3 linked regions of the Lytechinus pictus genome follow. The protein of the gene in region 1 purifies or fractionates together with the protein of each later gene. This does not show direct contact. Links are inferred from orthologs where the notes say so. Each region holds a gene or a part of one and is shown in the gene's direction. Other genes may lie near its edges.

What was found.
Region 2: the proteins of E3 ubiquitin-protein ligase HECTD1-like (region 1) and coatomer subunit alpha-like purify together in Homo sapiens (affinity purification with mass spectrometry, with the first as the bait; 3 studies listed by BioGRID). This does not show direct contact. The link is inferred for Lytechinus pictus from reciprocal best matches to the Homo sapiens genes HECTD1 and COPA.
Region 3: the proteins of E3 ubiquitin-protein ligase HECTD1-like (region 1) and cytoplasmic 60S subunit biogenesis factor ZNF622-like purify together in Homo sapiens (affinity purification with mass spectrometry; 4 studies listed by BioGRID, with this or other methods). This does not show direct contact. The link is inferred for Lytechinus pictus from reciprocal best matches to the Homo sapiens genes HECTD1 and ZNF622.

The regions. Positions count from the first base shown.
Region 1 is NC_087251.1:34,597,303-34,605,005, reverse strand, and holds the start of E3 ubiquitin-protein ligase HECTD1-like, read left to right. Parts: upstream 1-2,768; 5' UTR 2,769-5,102; intron 5,103-6,305; 5' UTR 6,306-6,317; coding exon 6,318-6,533; intron 6,534-7,703. UniProt on the Homo sapiens protein: E3 ubiquitin-protein ligase which accepts ubiquitin from an E2 ubiquitin-conjugating enzyme in the form of a thioester and then directly transfers the ubiquitin to targeted substrates.
Region 2 is NC_087252.1:3,707,989-3,715,691, reverse strand, and holds the start of coatomer subunit alpha-like, read left to right. Parts: upstream 1-2,972; 5' UTR 2,973-3,102; coding exon 3,103-3,142; intron 3,143-4,503; coding exon 4,504-4,617; intron 4,618-5,423; coding exon 5,424-5,578; intron 5,579-6,208; coding exon 6,209-6,285; intron 6,286-7,351; coding exon 7,352-7,461; intron 7,462-7,703. UniProt on the Homo sapiens protein: The coatomer is a cytosolic protein complex that binds to dilysine motifs and reversibly associates with Golgi non-clathrin-coated vesicles, which further mediate biosynthetic protein transport from the ER, via the Golgi up to the trans Golgi network.
Region 3 is NC_087257.1:20,022,722-20,030,424, reverse strand, and holds the start of cytoplasmic 60S subunit biogenesis factor ZNF622-like, read left to right. Parts: upstream 1-3,052; 5' UTR 3,053-3,265; coding exon 3,266-3,269; intron 3,270-3,334; exon of another isoform or gene 3,335-3,855; intron 3,856-6,532; coding exon 6,533-7,252; intron 7,253-7,703. Other genes in the region: large ribosomal subunit protein eL43-like, read right to left, coding at 2,841-2,900. UniProt on the Homo sapiens protein: Pre-60S-associated cytoplasmic factor involved in the cytoplasmic maturation of the 60S subunit.

The DNA.
Region 1 (7,703 bases):
GATGGCCCTGTCTCTCAATCTGCCCTTGTCCCATCCGACTAAGGACTAGACCATTTGAGATGAGACCAAACAGGGAATTAATCAAAGCCAGAGACTTACATAGATCTAGATCTAATTTAGCAATCTAAACCCTTTTGAGATTTGCTATCAATCCTCACTAGGTTGAATACTAGTACCATTCAGTGCAAAAGGCCATCGCCGCATAATTCGATCCTCCGCGCATACAGTCGACAGATTGACAAAGAAAATATCGACAACAGATTACCCTGGAAATAACAAAGGTATGAAATTAAGATAAATTCCCTATTTCTAAATATTTTGGGGAATATGTCAAAATCTTTGAATTATGCCGGGTTGAATACTAGTACCCATACGGCTATTAGTAACTGAAAAACATTGAAAAAAAAACTATGAAGAGATATCAGTCTGTAACATTTGATGCATTAGATTATTCGCAGGGTGAAATCATTTTGACATTTTTTTTATAAATAAGAAAGAAAAAGACAGTTGCCTAGTATTTTCATCTCGCAAGGAACTGTATTAATATTATTTTTTAGAATATTACTTTCATGTCCATTTTGCATTTGTCGATTTTCATTGATTTGTTTGTCTCACTTTATGCTTGTAATAATTATGAGTAAACTAAAGATCTGTACCATTATCATTTATCACAATTATTTATATTAACAACATAGACACGGCATTGCCATCCAAGGACTTAATTCACATTCACATCATGTCCTTGCTGCGGGCATTGAGCGAGTCGCGAGAAGAGAACGGAAGGCAGGCGTCAAATTGCCCTAATAGACATGTTATGATGTGAAAGCAATGGTTAGGCAATTTCTTGCACCCATTTCATACTATACAATGTACAGTACAGGTGTACGCTAAGATTCTTTTTAAGTAGAATATAAACTCAGTACAATATGGATAAGATGATTTTGCACATGACATCATCTCAAGATGTATACGTTCAAAGTTGGCATTCTGATTCTAAATGTCAAAAGAGTTTTCATTTTGTTCTCAGTGCTGGAAATACACTGTACACGTATGTAGCTCAATTTTTACAAAGTCAGGTTTACAAACAAAGCAAACCACAATGTACATAATTTACATTTTACACTGCGCATCATGATGATCATTGTATGATATGTTTTGGATAATTGCCAGGGAGCGATCAGGATTCCTGTGACAAAGTATTCATGTCTGTATGACTCAATCATTAATTGAATTGCAATGTGTCCCAAATGTTCTGACTATCGTATCATAGCAAGGGAATATTCATGCTGAGAAAAACAATGTTTGAAAAGCAAACATGGATGAACAATATACAAATAGCGAATAGGCATGAGTGCGATGGTGCGAGATTTCGCATGAGGTGAAAGAAAGATGCTCTATTCAACGAGGCGTGAGCCGAGTTGAATAGAGCGTTTCTTTCTTTCACCGAATGCGAAATCTCGCACCATTGCACGAATAAGGATATTCGCTATTTGTGTTGTACAACGCCTCGGAATTTAGCGAAAATATGAAAAAACAAAGAGTTTATCCCTATAGTAATCTATGAAAAGGGAGCAAAAATACCGAAAGCAGAAAGCAAAATTCCACAAGCGCACATTACCGTGGGCAGCCTTGCGCATTTAGCCAGCTGGCTTATACGCGTATTGTTCATTTTTACCGAGCGCAATGAATTAAATCGTATTGTGACGTCACCTCCTAAAGCCGTGCAACGGTACATTTTGGACGGTACATTTTGGATGGTACGTCTTTTGTGCAACGGTACGAATGTTTGACATTCAGCCTCCCATTTGCTCGCGTACAACAAGCTAAGTAGGCGTTGTACAATGAAGGATTATACATGTAATTTGTAAAAGAATTTTAACAAAATTTATGTTAGTCACTTTGTCAGTTTTAATATATTTTGGTGTTGATGAACAATATATAATTGTTATCAGTTTTTTTTTAAATAAATACCATTTTACATATATTATGACAATTTGCTCATCATTCTTATTAATATAAAATATGAATAATGATTTTAGAAAATAATAATCTTATCAAAATGAGATTATTTAACTTTAATTGCAAAAGATTGCCAGCAGAATAAATTGTTCCTTTGCTATCAATATTCTTTCACTGTCTCTTAATTCCAGTTATGAAAAAAAAAAAAGAAATACTTATACTGGTACTGTGAACTCATGTTGAGAAACATCTAAGTTTCATAAATTGTAATAAATTGTGAGAAAATGTTGGCCACGGTGTAAACAAATATATCCCGTAATTGGTTGTGAACATCTGTGTACAAAATGTGTCTGGTGGGGGAAATATGCTGAAGGTGCGCCTGCATGGGGGAAAAAATTGTCCATAAATTTCATATGCACTTTATCAGCACGCAGGGAAGTAAATTGGCAATTAGGTGTTGCTGCAGCTGCCACTCTTGCCTCACTTGAAGGCAGTTTCGGTGGAAATATGTGACCTTGAATTTGAAAGCAGAGTGAAAACAACATTTTGAAGACATGTGCTGCACTTGATTTGATTTGAATTCATTCAGACAAATTTTACATATCTTAGATTGCCAAACAAGGTTTAGAAAAAACCCATACAAGTAGGCATCCCACAATATAAAACAAAATACATAATCAATGACATTAGATAGGAATACAAATAGGCAACATATATCAAGGCATATCATATTATAGATTGAAGTTCCAAATGAAAACTACAGTAGGGAGACAACAATTAATTCTTAAAAATACTAAAATTGCATATAAATGATATTTCAAGTGTCTAATTTCAACAAGTGATTGATTGCTACATGTTACTACCAGAAGAAATATAATAATCTGTACTAGCAAATGGAACATTCATCTTATGTAAGTGTGATAATTTCTTCCTATTCTATTTGCTCTGTGACCTACAGTGTTTACTTCTCCTACATTAATCAAGTTGAGTACAATCTTATAATAAAAAAAAACAAGCCGATGGTATTTACATCTTTTTTTAATAAGTTCATATTAATTTGTTTTAATAACACATAACTTGAAGTCCAGTCTTTGGACATTATCTTTACGTAATGCTTTTGGATGCGTTCAGTCATGTCTTTGTATTTATTCTGTGGGGATCCCATACATGATTCTAAGTTATGTGAACGAATGTTTAAAAAAGACTTTGAAATGGATATTGGGCAATTAACAACATTCCTTCTAATAATTCCCATTATTTTGTTGGATCTTTATATATAATAATGTAAAGCCGTGCATTGGTCATTCCAGTTTTGAGAATCATTTATTATGATGCCTAAATAATTTTCTGATTTTACGTTTGCACATGTATTTATGCGCAAGTATGTTGTCAACTTTCAATGGTTTGGATTGACACTCAGTCAAAATAATGAATTATGGTTTTATTATGGGACTACATGTAGTTCTGTTTTTCATATATTTACATGTACATGTAGGCCTATTTATGTTGATACATGTACATGTACCACAATAATGTTGAGAGAATTTTCAAAACATTTTTAAGGGTAATTTCACCCTGATAAAACTGGAAAAATTTAGAGAAAGATATTGGTGAAGGATTGATGAAAATTAGTGAAAGAAATTGAAACAGACTAAAGATTTTTTTTAATTTGAAATTATGATGTCACAAACGAGCAGCTCTGTATAGCTGTGGATAAATTCCACCAAATTGCATTTTCTCAAAAAAGTCATAATTGATTTCATTTATGCAGTGGATTTATCATCAGACACATGTACACCTGTACCTGTAATGGCATACCCCTGGCTATAAGAAAATAATATTATTCATCATATCTGTTAAATGGAAGTTGTTGCATGAATAATGTACATGTATAGGGAGCTGCTCACATAGGACATAATTTAAAACTTTGAAAATCCATATTAAAACCAACTTATCGCCAGGATGAACTTCCCCTAAACTTAGTTAAATACCACCAATATATTGTCTTCAATATGTACATCAGTACATTGCATGTTAAGGCAGGGGGGGGGGGCTGCTATGTTACTGGAAGATTGTGGATAGAAAATATAAGTGAAGTGCCTTTTGAAAACTACACTGTACAAACTCCTGTTTTTATTCACCAAAAAAAAATTTAACAATAATCCTCTGGTTCTTTACTTACAATATGTTGTACAGTAAAGCCTAACTTTATACATGGCATGAACATTACCAACATCATCTACTGAGTACATGAACATGCACTCTAACAAACTTTTATAACAATCAGAGGAACAGTAGGTACATTATACATGTACATGTAGTAAGCTGTGTATAGAGATGGACATATTTCATTATTGTTTGGGTAAAAGATGTGTGGGTTGAGTCATATACAGTGTAGTTTTCTTTCAGTACTCATATTTACACATCACTGACTGTATTTATCTATTTGTGTGTGTTTGCTCATTCTATATGATACAGATGGTAATAAAAAGCTGCATGTTCCTGGATGAGTAAAACCGTGATGTAAATTATATTAAAATGTTTTTATATGGGCATTGCAAATGTTTGCATGCACATGTATATAATGTATGCGTGCTACATATTCCAAGCATGGTAAAAACAATATTTTATAAAGGCCTATAGTCATAATATTCTACTCATTTGTCACATTTTCATAAGCATTTGATACACTGTAAAAAGAGTGAAAATTCATCTATCAAAACTACCTTCAAAATTGCAGTTATACAGGTAGGACATTGAAAAAAATGATGATGATGATACAAAAGGGCACTTGATACAGCTACATTGTAGGTGTTTCTGTTATAGCGTGCGAACAATATGAACAAGTAACAATATTCCTGTAATGTCATGTGTAAAATATATGTTTTATTTTCTTCTTTTTATTCAGCTGTCCACCTAGAACCTTTCTCCCCGCACTGTGCCGTATATTTCTTGACGAGCATGCTCCGGACAACGTACTGGAAGTCACTGCCCGAGCCATCACCTACTACCTGGATGTCTCAGCGGAGTGCACTCGTAGGATCGTGGCTGTAGATGGCGCTGTTAAGGCCCTTTGCAATCGTCTGGTTGTTGTCGAGCTGTCTTGTCGAACCAGCAAGGATTTAGCTGAACAATGCATTAAGGTAAACGTGCATGTACCTTGAGTAATGGTTTCTTTTATACTAAATTCTTGGTAAATTGCCAATTGGTCTACACCTGTTTTGTCTACTTTCCATTTGGTCTAATCCCACATGGTGTCTACTCCTACATGTAGTTCGTCTACAACTTATTAGTTTACTTACCATTTGATTAATTACCACTTCAAAGCCCATTTAACATTTCTTCTAATGTCCAGTTTAATATACATTACTCATTTCGTATTGGTCTAATACAATATGAACAGATAAACTCTTTCTGAATCAAATTTTCATTTTTTTTTAACAAAGTAAAAACTATAAATGAATAGTGGACATTAGACCAACTGGGCATTAATCTTCTGTAAGATTGAACTAAGTAGACATTAGACCAAGTGCAGTAGACCAAACAGCAATTGGACCAAATTGGTAGTAGACCAAAGGGTTTAGCCTATTTGGTATTAAACTGAACTGAGTACATGTAGTAGACCAAGTTCTTGTAGACCAAGTGAATATAAACCATTTCTTTGTGCCAAACATGCCATCGTGTTATAAAGTCATGGGGGACTTTCATGATGGAAAATTAATCTTGATTGCCAGAGGCATTATGAAGGAGGGGCACCTTGGCAGAGAGCTTTGAAATCTATAATTTACACAAATCCCCTTATCTTTCCGTAAATAGAAATATGTTTTAGTCCAATATCATGAAATATGGAATAAGAAATGTTGTGTCAACATATGGTAAACATTCTTTGATACTGTATGTTACATGTATTTACCAATGGGTATTGCTTTATATGTGGTTGAATGTTTTTTTTTTTATAATGTCTAGAATATGAAATAAGGTTTAATTATTAAAATGAAATAGAAATAAGAAAATAATGTATTATGACATTTGCATTTATCTTATTTTGATTTTTTTCTTCAAATGAACATAATGAACTTCCAGTTGATTATTTATGCATTAAAAAAAATGTTTTAATGTACATGTATATTTTGGAAAATCAACTTTTGATATAAGGGAAGATGAGTGGATTGGCGCTGATTAGAGAGTGGGAGTCATGTGCCCTCTATGTTAGCTTTGGGAAAGAGAACTTCCAAACACCAAGGCCCAATCTGGACTACAATATCCATTAATCCAGTCTTGAATTTAACCTAAAAAATCAAAGTTCATATCAATATGTTTTTCATAATTTTTAATATGTCACCTAGGTCCTTGAACTGATGTGCACAAGGGAGTCAGGAGCCGTGTTTGAGGCTGGTGGTCTCCATTGCGTCTTATCTTTCATCCGAGACAACGGCTCCATGATCCACAAGGATACCCTCCACTCGGCCATGGCAGTGGTCTCCAGGCTCTGTGGCAAGATGGAGCCATCGGACGGCTCCTTGGAGACGTGTGTGGAGTCCCTCTCCACTCTGCTCAAACATGAGGATCCGCATGTAAGTTTCTTATTTGAAATCTACATTCTTTTTTATTTCATTGTGAAATTCCAATGTACACTATTAAATTCCATTCTTGTTAATAGTTATTTCATAAGGAATGTACTTGAAATCCAACTGATAGTTCAAGATTAATGCATTCTGTAAAAAAAATAAAATAAAACAAAGAGGAGTATTTGTCACCTATACATTCACCATGCTTTCACAAAATCTAGATTTTAACAAGCTGTGGAATAATGTTTTGTTCAGGTATGCTCAAAGCCTCATCAACATTTGTTTTCATGTTCATACGTAGTCAGAAAAAGTACACCATTTACATGTATGCTGATACATATGAATTGCATGCTTCAAGTCTCAAAAAGTGGTCATATATTGTGCGTACAAACCCATGACATCATAATGATTTCAGTATTAAAGGTCAAGTCCACCCCTAAAAAATGTTGATTTGAATAAATAGAGAAAAATCAAACTAGCAAAATGCTGAAAATTTCATCAAAATCGGAAGTAAAATAAGAAGGTTATGGCATTTTAAAGTTTTGTTATTTTTCACAAAACAGTGATATGCACAATTCAGTGTCATGCAAGTCAGTCAGTCGATGATGTCCATCACTCACTATTTCTTTTGTTTTTTATTGTTTGAATTATATAATATTTCATTTTTTACAGATTTGACAATAAGGACCAAGTTGACTAAATCATATAGTATTAAACAATGCCAATTCTACATGTTCAGGGAGGAATAATCGCTGTTTCACTTGAAAATGAGGGGAAAATTAGAATATTTCATATTTCATATAATAAAATACAAAAGAAATAGTGAGTGGATGACGTCATCAGTCTCCTCATTTGCATACCGACCAGGATGTGCATATAACTGTTTTGTGAAATTAAGGGAAGCTTTAAAATGTCATAACTTTCTAATTGTACATCCGATTTTGATGAAATTTTTAGAGTTATGCTTGTTGGATTTTTCTCTTTTTATTTAAATCAACTTTTTGTTTGGGTGGACTTGTCCTTTAAAGGTATTTGATGTTGAAATTTTTTATTATTACATCATCATATCACATGATGTTATTAGCTTGAACGCACAACTCTTGACCTATCATTTAGCACTAATTTTGTTTTCATTTGTCCTCACTTTTTTGAAGAAATAGATTTTATCCACAGTTT
Region 2 (7,703 bases), on another chromosome or scaffold:
AGTCGCCAATAACGGGAAATTTTAGATTTTCGACCAATTCCTCACCATAGAGATGTATACTAACTACGCTAGAGTGCGGAGTCGCCATAGGCGCGCGTACTTAACGTCTGTGATTGTGTGGAGCGTGGCGGCCATTGCTCGATAGGTATAGATTCGCAAAAGTACCCGGATGTACCCATAGCTCGTGCGTTGTAACGCTGTGAAAAGGGGTGCCGTCTCCGGCCTTTTTCTTGAAGAAAAGAACACAACCTCATAAAAATCGAAAATATGAATGACAAATTGCATCTCAATACACTATTAGAGTGATTACATGGGGATTATGCTATTAATTTGGCATTTTAAAAACCTGATTTCTCGGGATGAAATTCTAAATAATTTGCATTTACCTGTCCGTTTATAGGCCTGTAATAGATAACAATGTTGATATACTATCAAATAAACAATCATATAAAAATAAAAACATACAGCGGACATTAATAGAAAGATTGACAATTAATTCAAAAGACTGCAGTGAATTAGCCCTTCTCTGGATTTCCCTACCTTTAACTGCATCGTCCTCCTTCCATCCTTCCCACATTTACGTCCTTTGATTCTATGTTTATGTTGGATATAATTTTGTAATTTCTATATAGGCCTACATGATATGTAACTTGCTTTAATTTGTATGAAATATAGGCCTATCATTTTTATATATTAAGTTGTACAATAATTCTGTATAAGTTAGTGTTTTGATCTACATGCGCTATTAAAGGGCATCTCATTATTGTTCTTGGTGAGCCTCCCGTTACACCATCAATGTTGAAATTTGTGTTATTTGGTGAACGTGCTGATTTTGTTCTTATAGGAACATAATAAATTCCCCAAAATCTGCAGGCCTATATGGCCCGAAAATAAAATATTGATTTAAAATGTCGAGAATATAGCCTAATTTGTTCAAACTTTTCACAAATGACAGTTTTAATTCCCTTCACTTTAAGTTAGATTTGTTTTAATTCGCTTTTTAGGGGCCGTGTGTGCAATTAAAATAACAAACACACCTAAGCAAATTCGCTTTAACATACTGATCAAAATAAAATACAGGGGGCGCGACCGGACCCCTCCCTGAAATGAAAATGAACATTACACATAATAAATGATTGTGATTTTATGCACCCCATCACTTTCAAAATCATTCCGCGACGCCGTAATTAACATAATATAATAATTTTGTTCATCCATGGAAATCTTATTTAAAAAAAACTGATCGAATAACCAAACTCAGGTCCATAGGCCAGCAAATGACATTAAAGGAAGAAAACTAGAAAATCAAATTCAGTTATACTTTTAAAATGAAAAACAAAACTGGATATTCAAAACGCGTGTTTATCTGTTTATATGTTAGGCCGGTGCCAGTGCTTACAAATATTTGCCATAAAGTTCATTTATTCAAGCGACACAGACACAGTTAATTAGCACAATTTCAAGGCAGGTATCAAATTTGAGATTAAATTTGGATTTTTAATATCTTATTCCAAGTATTGTCACTTTTGCAATATTATTGTTTCATAATTATGTTTGGTTTTAGTACTCACAATTTTGCAACCGTTTTCATAATTATGATAAGTTTGCATTGATGTCTTTCATGATATTAGTTTTATACACTCTTGCAGTAGTAATAATATTCTTTATAGTATAATAAAAATTATATATCATAATCCCGCCCCTTTCCTTCTCTCCTTCTCCCCCTTCTTCCTCTCCTTATTATTCTATCCTTGATTTGTTCACATGATATTGGTCCAATCATTATAGGATCAGAAACAACGGCGATAAACAAAATATTTCAGCCAGTTTGCCGATCAGCATATTTTCAGCCGGGGAGAATCAAGTCTATACTTTCCAGAAAATCAAAGTAAAATTGTTTTGCGCATTGTGATTTGTTTACTCTCCGAAGTTTTAAAATGTTTGCAAGGCAATAACACTGTACATAAACATCCAACCCCCCATTAGGCCTCCTGTACATTGCAAAATTGTACGACTGCATGCGCGCATTTTGCTGTCAACAAACTTTTCTATACATTGATCGCAAGTAAGAAAGTATACTTTTATATACATATTTATAAATATGATGGGATGGTTGCCAGCAAAGGAAATCTAAATCATCAATTTTTAACTGAATCAATGCGTAAATCATTTCCAAATATCAATAAAAAGTCATTTTATGATTCGCGAGTTTTTGTGATGTTGGTTTACATCAGCGTGTAAGACATGGGGAAAAGGGATCGAGTTATTATAGGCCCTATTGTGTAGATATATATGGAAAATAAATTATAACAATTATCTAAAGTGAAGAAATAAATTATCAGCAATCAGCATAATAGTAATTAGGAAACTATGAACTATAAAAATACAATCGTGTTTTTTTTTTCGATACAGCGTCTCAGATGCATCACTGTGATATGGCCTATGAATTTTCTTAGGTTAATGTACATCAAATCATATTAAAACACATTAAATTTATTTATCAGGACCTAGGCCTAAATGTTATTTTTGATATTCATCTCTTCCAAATCATTAGAAAATAGAAGTCATATTAATGTATCAAAATTTTACCTAAGCAAAAACAATTGGGACTTTAAATCGTTTGCCTGTATTATAGCTGTATCGGCCTATATTATGCGCTATAGATAGGCCTATATAGGCCTTTTGACCTCAGTTTTGCTAGATTTTTGTTGTATTTGAACTTTAATCCAGTGCAATATTTACAATTTTGCTTTTCCATATGCTTTCGTGCTCATATGTCATCAATTTGTCATGTTCTGTGCTCATCCGTGTACATGCCCCATAGGTACTGTACGCGCATGGATATGGCAGGCTGCGAATACCTATCGAGCAATGGCGGACGGTCTCCACGTAATCACAGCGATTTGACGAAGTACGCCCTCTAGCGTTACTAGTATACATCTCTATGTTCCTCACTAATTGAACAGAAGAATATCAAGAGAAAACGGCTGTACGAAAGACTATCAAACATAAGCTGAAAGTGACGTGGCTGCATCTTCGTGGAATTGTCAGGAGAAAAGGAAGAAAATTACATTACTTTTTTGATGATTTGACAGCAGTATCATGCTTACAAAATTTGAGACGAAATCTGCAAGGGTGAAAGGTATGCAAGAAAATTAATAATCACATATTTGACTTTGCAATTTTGGGTGGAATTCGGTGTTGTGACAGCACCGCCAATGTCCGCAACTGATTCTTTGCAATGTCGGGTTTGGGACTGCCGATGTGCCGTGCCATGGCCCATTACCCCGGCCGCGCTTCCCCCGCTTGCTGCCGTCGTGTTTCGTACCGGGAGAGCTGAAATCCAGACATTAAATTGTGTGCCGTGGTTTCACCTTCATTATTTTGCAAAGTTGGGAAGATAAAGATAATACGAAAATTGTATTTCCTTAATAATAGTTGAAATACCGTATACTATATGATTTTTGAGAATTTCTCAATCTTCTTTTTTTCCCTTTCATTCAGTGACAGAAGTTCAGTCAAACGCAAACTCAAATTTTTATTTCAATTTTTAGAAAAAATACAATGTCATGATTTGGTTTTTCAATGTTACTGTATTCGTAGTAAGACTTATAACCCTTAAAATAATAATAATAATTTTATTGTTAAGCATTTCACCTTTTATCCGTTTTCTTACTTTGTTCGTATAAAAGTCAAATTTTATTAGATTGATTCACACAATCAGAGATTTGATAAATTGATGTGAAGCCTGGCCCTGGGTCACATGTTTTAGATGGTGATGTACATAGGTTAGTCCCAGATTAGATTTTCTTCAGTTTGTCATTGTGTTTGAACTCTGTCATTTTCACATACAGTGTCGTCCTTGTGAGGGTCCCATCCCCATCTCTCTGCCTTCTCCCATTAATCCTCGGTTCTTTTTTCCTTTATTACCTTATTAGTATTACTGGATGTACTGGAAAAATGCAGAAAGCTGCAGCCAAGTTTCCAGGTCTAGCTTTCGTCCAAGTTTAATCTTCTTCCACAAGTAATATGTGTGACTGTGAGTGTCCAGTGTACATGGTGCGTTTGCAATCATTTCTGTCAAATCAAATCAAATCATTCCCAAGGGTGACTGTACCATTCTTTATTCCAGAACTTATCAAGCCTGGAATTTACAGATGGAGTAGAGACAACCTCATTTGGTAGCGAGTTCCAGTCACGCACTATTCTGGCTCCGAAGGCATTTGCTCTTACATCCAGTCTATTTCTTTTCTTGAAGAGTTTATATGGGTGACCTCGGGTTGCCTCAACATTAATTGACGAGAAGAACATATCCTTTGTCAAGCCAGTCGATTCCATGCACTATTTTATAAGTCTGGATCATGTCACCTCTTCTCATTCTGTATTGCAGGGATGGTAGATTTAGGGCTCGAAGTCTGTCTCCATAGTCTAGCATTGCCAAGGATGGTATGAGTTTTGTTGCTCTTCTTTGTACTTTCTCAATCTCTTTCTTTCTTCCTCCAGGCTTGTGCTTTCACCCCAACCGACCATGGATCCTTGCCAGCTTGCACAATGGAAACATCCAGCTGTGGGACTACCGTATGTGCACTCTCTTGGAGAAGTTTGATGAACACGATGGTAAGTGTCATTTGCAGGGGTGAAGGTCAAGTCCAACCAAGAAAAGAATAACATGTACGTCATCCCGTTGACTACTAAATTCTGAGATTTCCGTAGTCTTTGTACATGTATCATCTGGGTCCCGTAACACAAAGGTTAGCGATTAATCGTACGATTGATTTTCACGATTGATTGTACATTGTAGTCAATGGAATCAATCGTAGAAAAATGTTCTACGATCATTGCTAAGTTTGTGTTATACTTATAGGCCCCAGGTTCCAGTAGGCAATGGGTTAATAAAAGAGAAGCCTCTCAGGGTCTCAGAAATCCTCATTTTCTTGGGAAAGTAGTTTCCAGACAGGGATGTACATGTACATGTAGTTCAGGCTGGTTTTTTTTTACAGTTATAACTTCCCATAGATGTTGTACATGTGACTTGGACCAAGGCCAAGTCCAGCAAAATGTTGCCTTGACTCAATACCTGTTTCCAAATATACAGGACCTACATGTATATGGACAAATTATGAATATTTTCTTGGATTGTGTAATCAGATGTCTAGAATAAACAAAATCACAGAGAAAAATGTGAGCCATTGTGAGCTCCCCAGTTTTTTAAAAAGAAGTCTAGGGGTGTGTTTATGCTTCCATTGCGGGTACAGAATCAACGTTTTCAAATGTCGTTTCAGATCGCCGATCACAAACTTAGTACTCGGAGTGCTGCTTATGCTTAATTTTTCAGAGGCAAAATTGCAATATACAGCCCTAAATCAACAGACATTCCAGAAAATGTTCTTTCAGAATTAAAAAAATTTTTACTTTTCTTTCAGGTCCTGTTAGAGGGATCAGTTTCCACCAACAGCAGCCCCTGTTTGTTTCTGGAGGCGATGACTACAAGATCAAGGTCTGGAACTATAAACTCAAAAGATGTCTCTTCACTCTCCTTGGACATCTGGATTACATCAGGACAACCTTCTTCCATCATGTAAGGAGATTAGTTCCAATATTATATAATAATAATAATAATAATAATAATAATGATAATAATAATAATAATAATGATAATGATAATGATAATGATAAATATGATAATAATAATAATAATAATAGTTATTTATATAGAGCCATCTATCTAGAAATATTCTATTCCAAGGCGTGTTATTATTATTATTACCCCGGTTTTAGCTCGAGCTGCCTTTCAGCTATGATCTTGTATTTCATATTACATGCATGACCAATTTTCCTTATGACATGTATGAGGGGTCTTGTGGGAGGGGTCTTGTGGGTCAATCAACTTACTTATCCCTATCAAGGCCTATAGCAAGCACCTTGAGATAGAATTGAATTATGTAGAAAAAAAATATTTAAATGAACAATGATGAATCCCATGCACAGGGAAGATTAATATTGTGTCTTCAAACATCTGTGCATTATTTTGCATCCAATGATCAAATCAGGTCAGATCAAATTGATCCCCTTCCCTCCATTACAACTTGTTCTGAAACATGGTATTTACTCATAAGGTCATATCTACCCCTCATGCTCTCTATTAAATATAATTTTACCACAACAATTTCATGATTTCTGTTTTTGGTGCTCTTTTTTTTTTTTTAAGGAATATCCTTGGATCTTGAGTGCATCTGATGACCAGACTATTAGGATTTGGAATTGGCAGTCAAGGAACTGTGTCTGGTGAGTTAACCGATTGACGACTGAATTCTTTAATTGCCATAGGCTTTGTACAGAGACCACCTCGTTCTAGTGTGCAATGGGTTAATCTGTTGACTACAGTGTACTTGAGTTATGTAATCCCTATAGGCTTTGCACAAGGAAAACCTGGTTCCAGTACGTAATGGCTTAACATATAATAACGAAACATGCTACTTCTGAAAGATTTATGTGTAGTAAATGGTGATAAATGGAGGCCCCGTGTAGAGGTGAATCACCACCTTTGCACGTTAAGAATTCAGTGCACTATTCGAATAAGAATAGGGGGAAACCCCGGTGTAGTGGTCCACCTGCATCCCCCAACCAGTTATCGGGAGGAGAGACCTGCGGGTCACAGTTCTGTGTGCGCGCCTTCTTGGCGACCCAGATTGGCTGGCTCCTCCAATGCGCCTTTGAATGTCTTTGACATACAGTATATATATATGGCGCTATACAAATGCTGTGCATCATCATCATCATCATCATCGTGATAAAATGGCAACATTGGCATGCTTGGTGTTGAAGATCAGCCATGGGGATTAATTCTTCCTCAACTTGCTCTTTTCTCTCTGATCATTAGAAACATGCATTAAAGGTGACCATGCATTTGTATAGCATTTTCCTGGATATAAAATTAAATGTATGAAAATTTATGCTATTTGTAATTTGTGGTGTTGTGGTTTATACTCTTTCTTGGTAATATCAACATAGTTTGACTATAAAACTGTTTATGAACCAAATTTCATTTGACAAAGTGGAAAGTGATTGATTTGAGAGATTATACCATCTGGGCATTTTTCTACTAGATAGCAAATGAATTGAGTATTTAGACTAAGTGATGTTGCACCAAATGGTAATTAGACAAAATTGTTAAGTAGGCCAAATAGGTCTGGCCATCTGAGAACTAGACCATCTGTTTGTATAACAGAGTGAATACACATGTCAATACTCACTCTAAAGATCGACAAGCTAAAACTGCGTATTGTGGAATTCCACTCATGGCATCGCTGGTTATAAATTTACTGTATTCTCCTTGTCATTTTCATTTCAGTGTTCTTACTGGGCACAACCATTACGTCATGTGTGCAAACTTTCATCCTTCTGAAGACCTTGTTGTCTCTGCTTCTCTTGATCAGACTGTCCGAGTCTGGGACATCCAAGGTAGGTTCTTTTAAAACTTTCCTAGAGAAAAACTTGAGACCACAGTGTCTGAGTCATGGAATTAAATGTTTGCCTTGAAAGTATTACGAATTGTAAATTACTGATAATGGCATTTGAACTACAGACCTATTTTTTACAGCAATGGGGAAAATGTGTGACATACATGTTTTGTGGGTGATGGTTCCCTTGAATGTTTTTTACAGATAAATGGCCAATACAAATGCTTCTAATCATCATCATAG
Region 3 (7,703 bases), on another chromosome or scaffold:
ATAATAATGACTGTGTTGGAATCAGTTACAACCAAAATGCTAAATAAAAAAGAGGGGTTAATTATATTTGAAGGGGTGAATCCAGGAATTACCAGAACGGGGGGGGCCGGGGGGGGGGGGGGGGTACGCTGTTTGGACGAAAAGAAGTTGGCTGCCACTGTGAAGTTGACAACTCGATAATTTTCTGACAATCAAGCAAAAAGAAATCAAAATGGAGTGGATGGAAACTTGTCGCCCCCCCCCCCCCCACCAGCACTGATTAAAAGCATTTAAAAACAATTTTCAAGAAGAATCAACGGGATCACGAATAAGAAAGAGAATCACACATTAAAAAAAATCAATTACATGCAGAATTAAATTCATAGAACAATAATTTTGCTGGCCGTCTTCGTATATATCCCTCGAACTTCGAAGGATGATTAAAAAAAAAAGCCGTCTCCCAGTCCAAATATTTTGCCCATTTCCCGGACTCATTTCAGTCATTATTTTTCTTCATCTTAATGCTTACAGTAGAAATGCTCTTATATATAATCCAGAACTGATTCCACTTATTCCAGATCGAGAGTGTCTTTTTTTTCAACTATGGAGGTCCCTCTCCATGTTTCAACTCTGATCGTGATTCAACTGTGCATGGACCTCTCGGTCCATGAACTGAACATACGTTGGAATGTCCGTTACCATGGTAACCAGCGGCCAAGATAAGATCATTGTTTACAAATATCTGGAGACTGAGAATGGAGGTCAAATGCCGGGTCATTCCCAGGGGTCCATGTTCTGAACATGGAAACGATTGTGGTCGAGCCCCGTTCCCACGGTAGTTGCCATGACAGAGTAACTATAATCATATTAGTTCTTTGGATCCCAGTTATCAAAGCCTTCACAAATCATAGGAAATTTATCAATTACAACTCGCTATCTACGACAAATATAATAATGACTGTGTTGGAATCGGTAACAACCAAAGTGCAAAATCAAGAAGGGGGTTAATTATTTGAAGGGGTGAATCCAATTATCAGAACGGGGGGGGGGTGGGGTTACGCTTTTTGGACAAAAAGAAGTTGGCCGCCACTGTCAAGTTGACAACTGGATAAATTTCTGACAATCAAGCAAAAAGAAATCAAAATGGAGTGGGTGGGAACTTGCCCCCCCCCCTCCCACCAGCGCCTGATTAAAAGCATTTAAAACAATTTTCAAGAAGAATCAATAAAATTGATAAAAAAGAGAATCACACAATTAAAAAATCAATCCCATGCTGAAAACTACATGCTGATTCTTCTCATTCTTTGCCTCGCCCCCCCCCCCCCCCCCCGCCCCATCTCGTCTCGAATTTTGGGGAATACCTTTTTCATGAGGTGATGATTAAACTTTCTCTGTCTTAGCAGATACACACTCGATAATGCACTGCCACATCACATGCAAATCACAGACAAATGCCAGACTCTCTCAGACATAAATATAAACAAAGGAAATTTCCACGCCGTGTCGTGAGCCACGTGGGAAGGTACATTGAATGGACACACTTTTGATGCACACAAATAATCCCAGACACATTTCATCATAAGCTTTTGTCTCTCTCATAACCTCTCAAGCATCGGTTCTGGACGTTACGATCGCGTCTCTTTCCCCCTCTCTTTTTCTATGCATTGCATTCGCTCGTGACATGGCTTGACCTAAACCTGACCTAAACGCACCCGTACGGGTGCGTAACTCAAACTTTTGAAGACAGTCGGGGTCAAAGTAATACATATTCATGACCGTGCAGCGTAAAAATCATGGCACGCTGACATCATTAGCAACATTCGCGGAGACTCCTCCTTACGAGGGAGGCCTTCATTTCCTGAATTGGACGTGAACGCGTATCGTGGATGACCATATTTTGGGAGGTTTTAGAGCTCTTATTGGCGGAAAAATGTCAATTTCTCTTCGCTTGTAACTTTGCAGTAAAATGGAATAACTTCAAGAAATTCGGCAGTTGGTATGAGTGAAATTTTCCCTATAAAATGATTACAGTCATAGCACGTAAGTCCAACCCTATCCAAAGATAAAAATTAGGTCCGGTCTCCCTACTGATATATCGTGATGCTTGTTGTCTGTTGATTTCTTCAAAACGGGCGCTAGCGGTGGCAAATTTGCCGATCTTTTGCCAATATTTTCATGAATACTGAACTCATCCTAAAGAAATTTTTAGGGCCTAGGCCTAGGCCTACTAGGTAATGGGTAATTTTAGGTCGCTTTTCACGTTGATGATGTCAGATTTCAAGGATATTGGCTAGTTTTTGAGATAATGACCGTCCGCGAAGTATGGACACGCGCGAAGTTTGGACTCACTGCCATGCATGCACCGCACCAGTCACCAAAGGCAAAGCAAAGGTTCCCCAAAGCAAAGACTAACGTTAGACACCACTTTCGCTCGCCGAGTCCGGCCCGGGCCGAATTTTTGTCATGACTTGTAAGTTGTAAATTCATAATCTTTTAAAGTTCGACTCTATGGAAAGCAAAAGTCGAGGGGATCTTCATCAAATATGGTATGCCTGGGTTATTTCAGATCTACCACTACCAGCTTAATTTGGCCAAAACGTGGGATATGAATTATGATTGACTACAATCAATCATCGGCAGATCGGTAAAGTCAATGAACACAGCAAACTGGTAGCGCTAGCGAACTTAAATAGAGCAGGGATAATTTACACCAAAATAACAGATTTAATAGTTGAAAAAAGATATGAAAATGGAATGAAAAATGTGATAGCCTAATTTAGAACATCCGATTATTGTTGATTCGTATATTTAGGGCAAAAATCGGAAGATTTTCAGGGATTTTCGTAGAGTTACACACTGACCATTTTAGACAAATTACGGAGTCCAGCAGAAGAGACCGTATTAAGGTCACCTCGGTCCATCGTATGGATATTTTTATAATTGCATTGTTATTTTTATATTAATATTAATCCACATAATAGATAAATAATTTTTTGTAATTCGATATATATATTATTTTTGTGATTTTGTTCAATATCAACATGAATTAACCTTGAATTTCATATCATCGGATCTTTCAAAAATTGGCAACGGTAAAACTCTTACAAACAACTCGGCCTTTGATTTTGTGGCTCACTAAAGTTGGTCATTATTTTCAAATTTGTAAAAATTGAAATATTGTATGATTCAAACAATAAAATACGAAAGAAATAGTGAGTGAAGGACACCATTGACTGTCTCATTTGCATGTCACTAACTGGTGCAACTATTTTGTGAAAACTAATACATGTGTAAGTGAAACTCATAATTATTATATTATATATCCGATTTGGATGAAATTTTCAGCGCTATGCTTATTGGATTTTTTTCTATTACTTCAAAATCAACATTTTTCTGGGGTAGACTTGACTTTTTTAAAGTGAAAGACAGATAAACTTCACTTGGGCTGCATGCCCCTCAGCCAAACATCAAAATGAATCACCCGGTATAGTGCCAGGTCGACCCCCCCAAATATCTGACCGACATCATTTATGACGATATTTACTTTGTGGAGTTGTCATAAACCTCTTGCGACGTGTTGCGCAATTACTCTAGAACACAAATTTGTATTACTACGGCGTGCGATTCTTTCACATTCATTATATAGTAGGACTCTCACGTTTTTATGATACGCCTATTCGAATTGCACATGAGCTAAATTACCGGACATTCGTTGAGGTAATTGTCTTGTCTTGTAAGCTAAGTACTGCACTACGACCAATCAACCTCAATCAAACAAGGTGAGACCGACCGACCGGGTGTGCGTTACTTAACAAGTTATAGGTTTACCAATTTTACCAGCTTTATTGTGGTTAGTTCATGAAAGTTTTGAGCGAGGTGAGTTTTAGAAAGTTAAGAAAATACGTCCAGACTCTAACTCTAAGATCTTTAAATTAAATTTGGCGTTGCCATTGCCGGTCCAGCGAGCGCGAGTCGAGAGTTCCGCCCCGCTCTCCGCCTTGCCTTTGGCTTTGCTTTAAAGCCTTTACTTTAGCGAGGGCGGTGCTCAGCAGCTGGCTCTGGGGCGCTAATGCAGTTTTGCACCGGCCGACTTCGAGCAAATTTCCCCACCAGAATCAGAACTTGATCACCATCACAAATGGCGCGAACATTCGACCAGGCAGAGCAGAGGTGTCTGGCAAGTGTGAATGTCCGGCCTTATCCTGAAATAAGTCACCTCTCTTGAGTCTTGTGTGTCAGTGTGTGCGCTCGTTGTGTACAACTACAAAGACAAAGTCAATGACAATGCCAATGGCAATGGGAGATGAAAGAAGTCACCGCCGTTGACGAAATGAACGGCAGTGAATGTCTTGTCTTGTCTTTCCGTTGTTGCCCACAATCAAAGTGTTGATTATTATGGCAAAGTTGAAAAAAGTTGACTTGACCTTGTCTGCGATATCCTACTGTATGATGGGGTGTCCAAACTTCGCGCACTTTTCAAAAATATTCATCAGGCTTAAATTTTTTCACAAAATATTCATAATTTATACATAACCAATTCAAGAAATAGTTACCACATTGACGGCAAGATCGTAAACTATAAAATCATGGACGAAAATGTGAAGTAGGTCAAGGGAATTCGCCGGTATCGCGATCTCAAAATTCTATTCCGATCGGCGAATGCGCGCTGTGGTGGAAAAGGTTCAGAAAAAGTGTGACCTAACTTCGCGGACCAAAGTTTTTGTGGACATTTAAACAAAAACTCAAGCTCAAAAAGTGAAATATTTATATCAGTTTGATGGCAAAATGCTATAGAATCGGTTAGTACCACATTTAACTCACATTTTTGATGATTTCTGCTTGCAAAATGGTGATATCGTGATGCTTGTTGAGAATATAAGATTTCTTCAAAACGGGCGCTAACGGTGACAAATTTGCCGATCTTTTGCCAATATTTTCATGAATACTGAACTCATCCTAAAGAAACTTACACCAAAGGATAATTTTAGGTCGCTTTTCACGTTGATGATGTCAGATTTTAAGGATATTGGCTAGTTTTTTAGATAATGACCGTCCGCGAAGTATGGACACGCGCGAAGTTTGGACTCACTGCCATACTGTTGAAACATAGATTTTTTTTTTTTTTTCTTTTTTTTTTTTCTTTAAGATAAAAAATGACATTGCTGGTGATGCCGTTTACATGCTGACCCTTGTCACAAATGTGTCAAGGGTTGCAGCATCCACTACCTCAGCTGGTAGCCCGTTCCAGTCCTTCACAGTGCGAGGCAAGAATGAAGATCCTCTGTACTGAGTTCTACAGGTGATCAGCTGGAACTGTCTGTTGTGAGAACGACGCAGGCGAGTTGGTAGTGGGACAAGTTTTGAGTTAATTATTGGGCAATGTGCAAGGTTGTTGGTTATTTTGTAGAGCATGGAGAGGCGTGTGATCTTTCTTCTCTGCTGAAGAGTCTGCCAGCCGAGGGTCTTGATCATCTCACTAACACTTGAGGTTTTATGGTACTTGTTCAAGACAAAGCGTGCAGCACGTCTCTGTATAGACTCCAGCTTATCAATGTGTTTCTTTGTAGAAGGATCCCAAACTGAGGAGGCGTACTCGAGCACGGGTCTCACAAAGGCTTTATAAGCTCTCTCCTTGATCTTTGAATGGAGTGGTGACTTAAACCAGGATAATGCCGAATGTCCCTCATAATGTGGTCCAAAAATTTTTTAAACGAGGACAATCATGACAATGTTTGGAATTATTATGATAAGTGATAACCATTTTCTGGGCATCACATTAGTGATTAGACTTACTTGGTTAATAGTATCGGCAGATGTCTGTCTGGACAGTCTGGTATTAGAGTTAGTGGAAAGGAGAGCCGAAAAATATTATTGTGTTTAAATTATAGATTATCATTGATTTATGCTGCATGTCACTTTTGATAAGTTAATTATTGAAATCTGGTGAGTGATGTTTCAAAATTCAAACCCAATTTTTTTAGAGGAATCGCAAAAAAAAAATCAGAATCAGAAAAAAATCAAATATTACGCCACCATATTGGCTTATATTTATGAAAACAAAACCCCCACAATCGTTGAGAGGATCGCCAGCCAGACAATCAAAACCACTGGCGGATCCGGGGGGGGGGGGGGGCAGAACTGGCCCGTGCCCCCCCCCCCCCCTTGGGAAACAAATTAAAATGTAAAAATGCTGTTGAAACAGAAGTGTGCCCCCCTTTTGCAAGTGAAGTCCTTTTTTTTTTTTTGCTTGTTAATTTTTTTCTGGGACGAAATGTATACTTAATTTTTGGTTGAAAACTTTTTTTTGCTAGTCAAATTTTTTCCTCAGAAAAATGTGCCCTCCCACCCACTTGGAAAATTCTGGATCCACCCCTGATCAAAACTATGCAATGTTTTGATTGTGCGGCTGAGCTAGTGATCACTGTCACAGATCAGCCTGTTGACATTGCACAATTCGCTCCCAATTTTGAAAGTCCTTAAAATGGGCTGTGTCAGGGAGAACCTGCAAGCTGGCTATATGTCTTTAATATTTCTTTTAAATATTTTACTACAGATATCTCAAGTATAGCTGAGCTGGAAAGAACAATGTCATCAGGGGCATTCACCTGTATCTCGTGCCGAGTGGCATTCGCCAGTACGGATCTACAGAGGGCTCACTACAAGTCGGACTGGCATCGCTACAACCTCAAACGCAAAGTAGCCGAGCTTCCTCCCGTCACTGCTGCTGATTTCAAGCAGCGCCTTCTTGCACAACAATCCAAGACCGCTGAAGCACAACGTGACACCTCTACTAGATGCGGGGTATGCGGGAAGCACTTTGGCACGGAGAACGCCTATACAAACCACCTACAATCCAAGAAACATAAAGATGCAGAGGCAAAGATGAAAGCAGCATCCGATCAGAGCCAGGTCTCCATCAAGAATGCCAAGAACAAACGCGACCAGGCCAAGGTTGACGCCTATGAAGGAGAGAAGATGAAGAGGGAAGGGGCTGAGAAGAAAAAGAAGATGGACAACAATGCTGCACCACCATCATCATCTAGGTTGAGGACGGAGAACAAAGATGAAGTTGCTGATGAAGTGATGGACGATGATGATGAGGAGGAATGGGAGGACGTAGAAGGTGAAGAGATACCGCCTACAGATTGTCTCTTCTGCAGTCAATCAACTTCATCAATTGAAGACAACCTGCATCATATGACTGTATCTCATAGCTTCTACCTGCCCAACGTGGAGTTTATAGCAGACATGGAGGGTCTTTTATCGTATCTGGGTAAGGAAGCAGCATATAGATATTGCACATTTTTTGTATTTATTTTTTTTTCTTGATGGAATGAAATATTTCAATGAAAGAAACGTATAAATTTACTTAAGAAAATTAAATTCAATTTGCATGAAAAAATTCATGAAAAATTAGAATTAGTGTCTGTCTTGAGACTTAAACAAATTAGGAAATATGTTCTCTTGAATGAAATCATGGAGTTGCCTTTTTTTAAATGAGTCAATGTCACAATTTAATTGATTATGTCGATTTGATAACATTATCAACCTAATAAATTTGTTCAAATAAGTTGAAAAGCCAATTGGATGATCAATTCATAGCAGTAATAAGAATAGTAATATGCCACATTTTATAGAGTGTTAATACACTTATTTTAAGTGCCACATACTATATGTATATGTACAACTTGATATCTAAAATAAATTTATCTTTCTTCCCTATT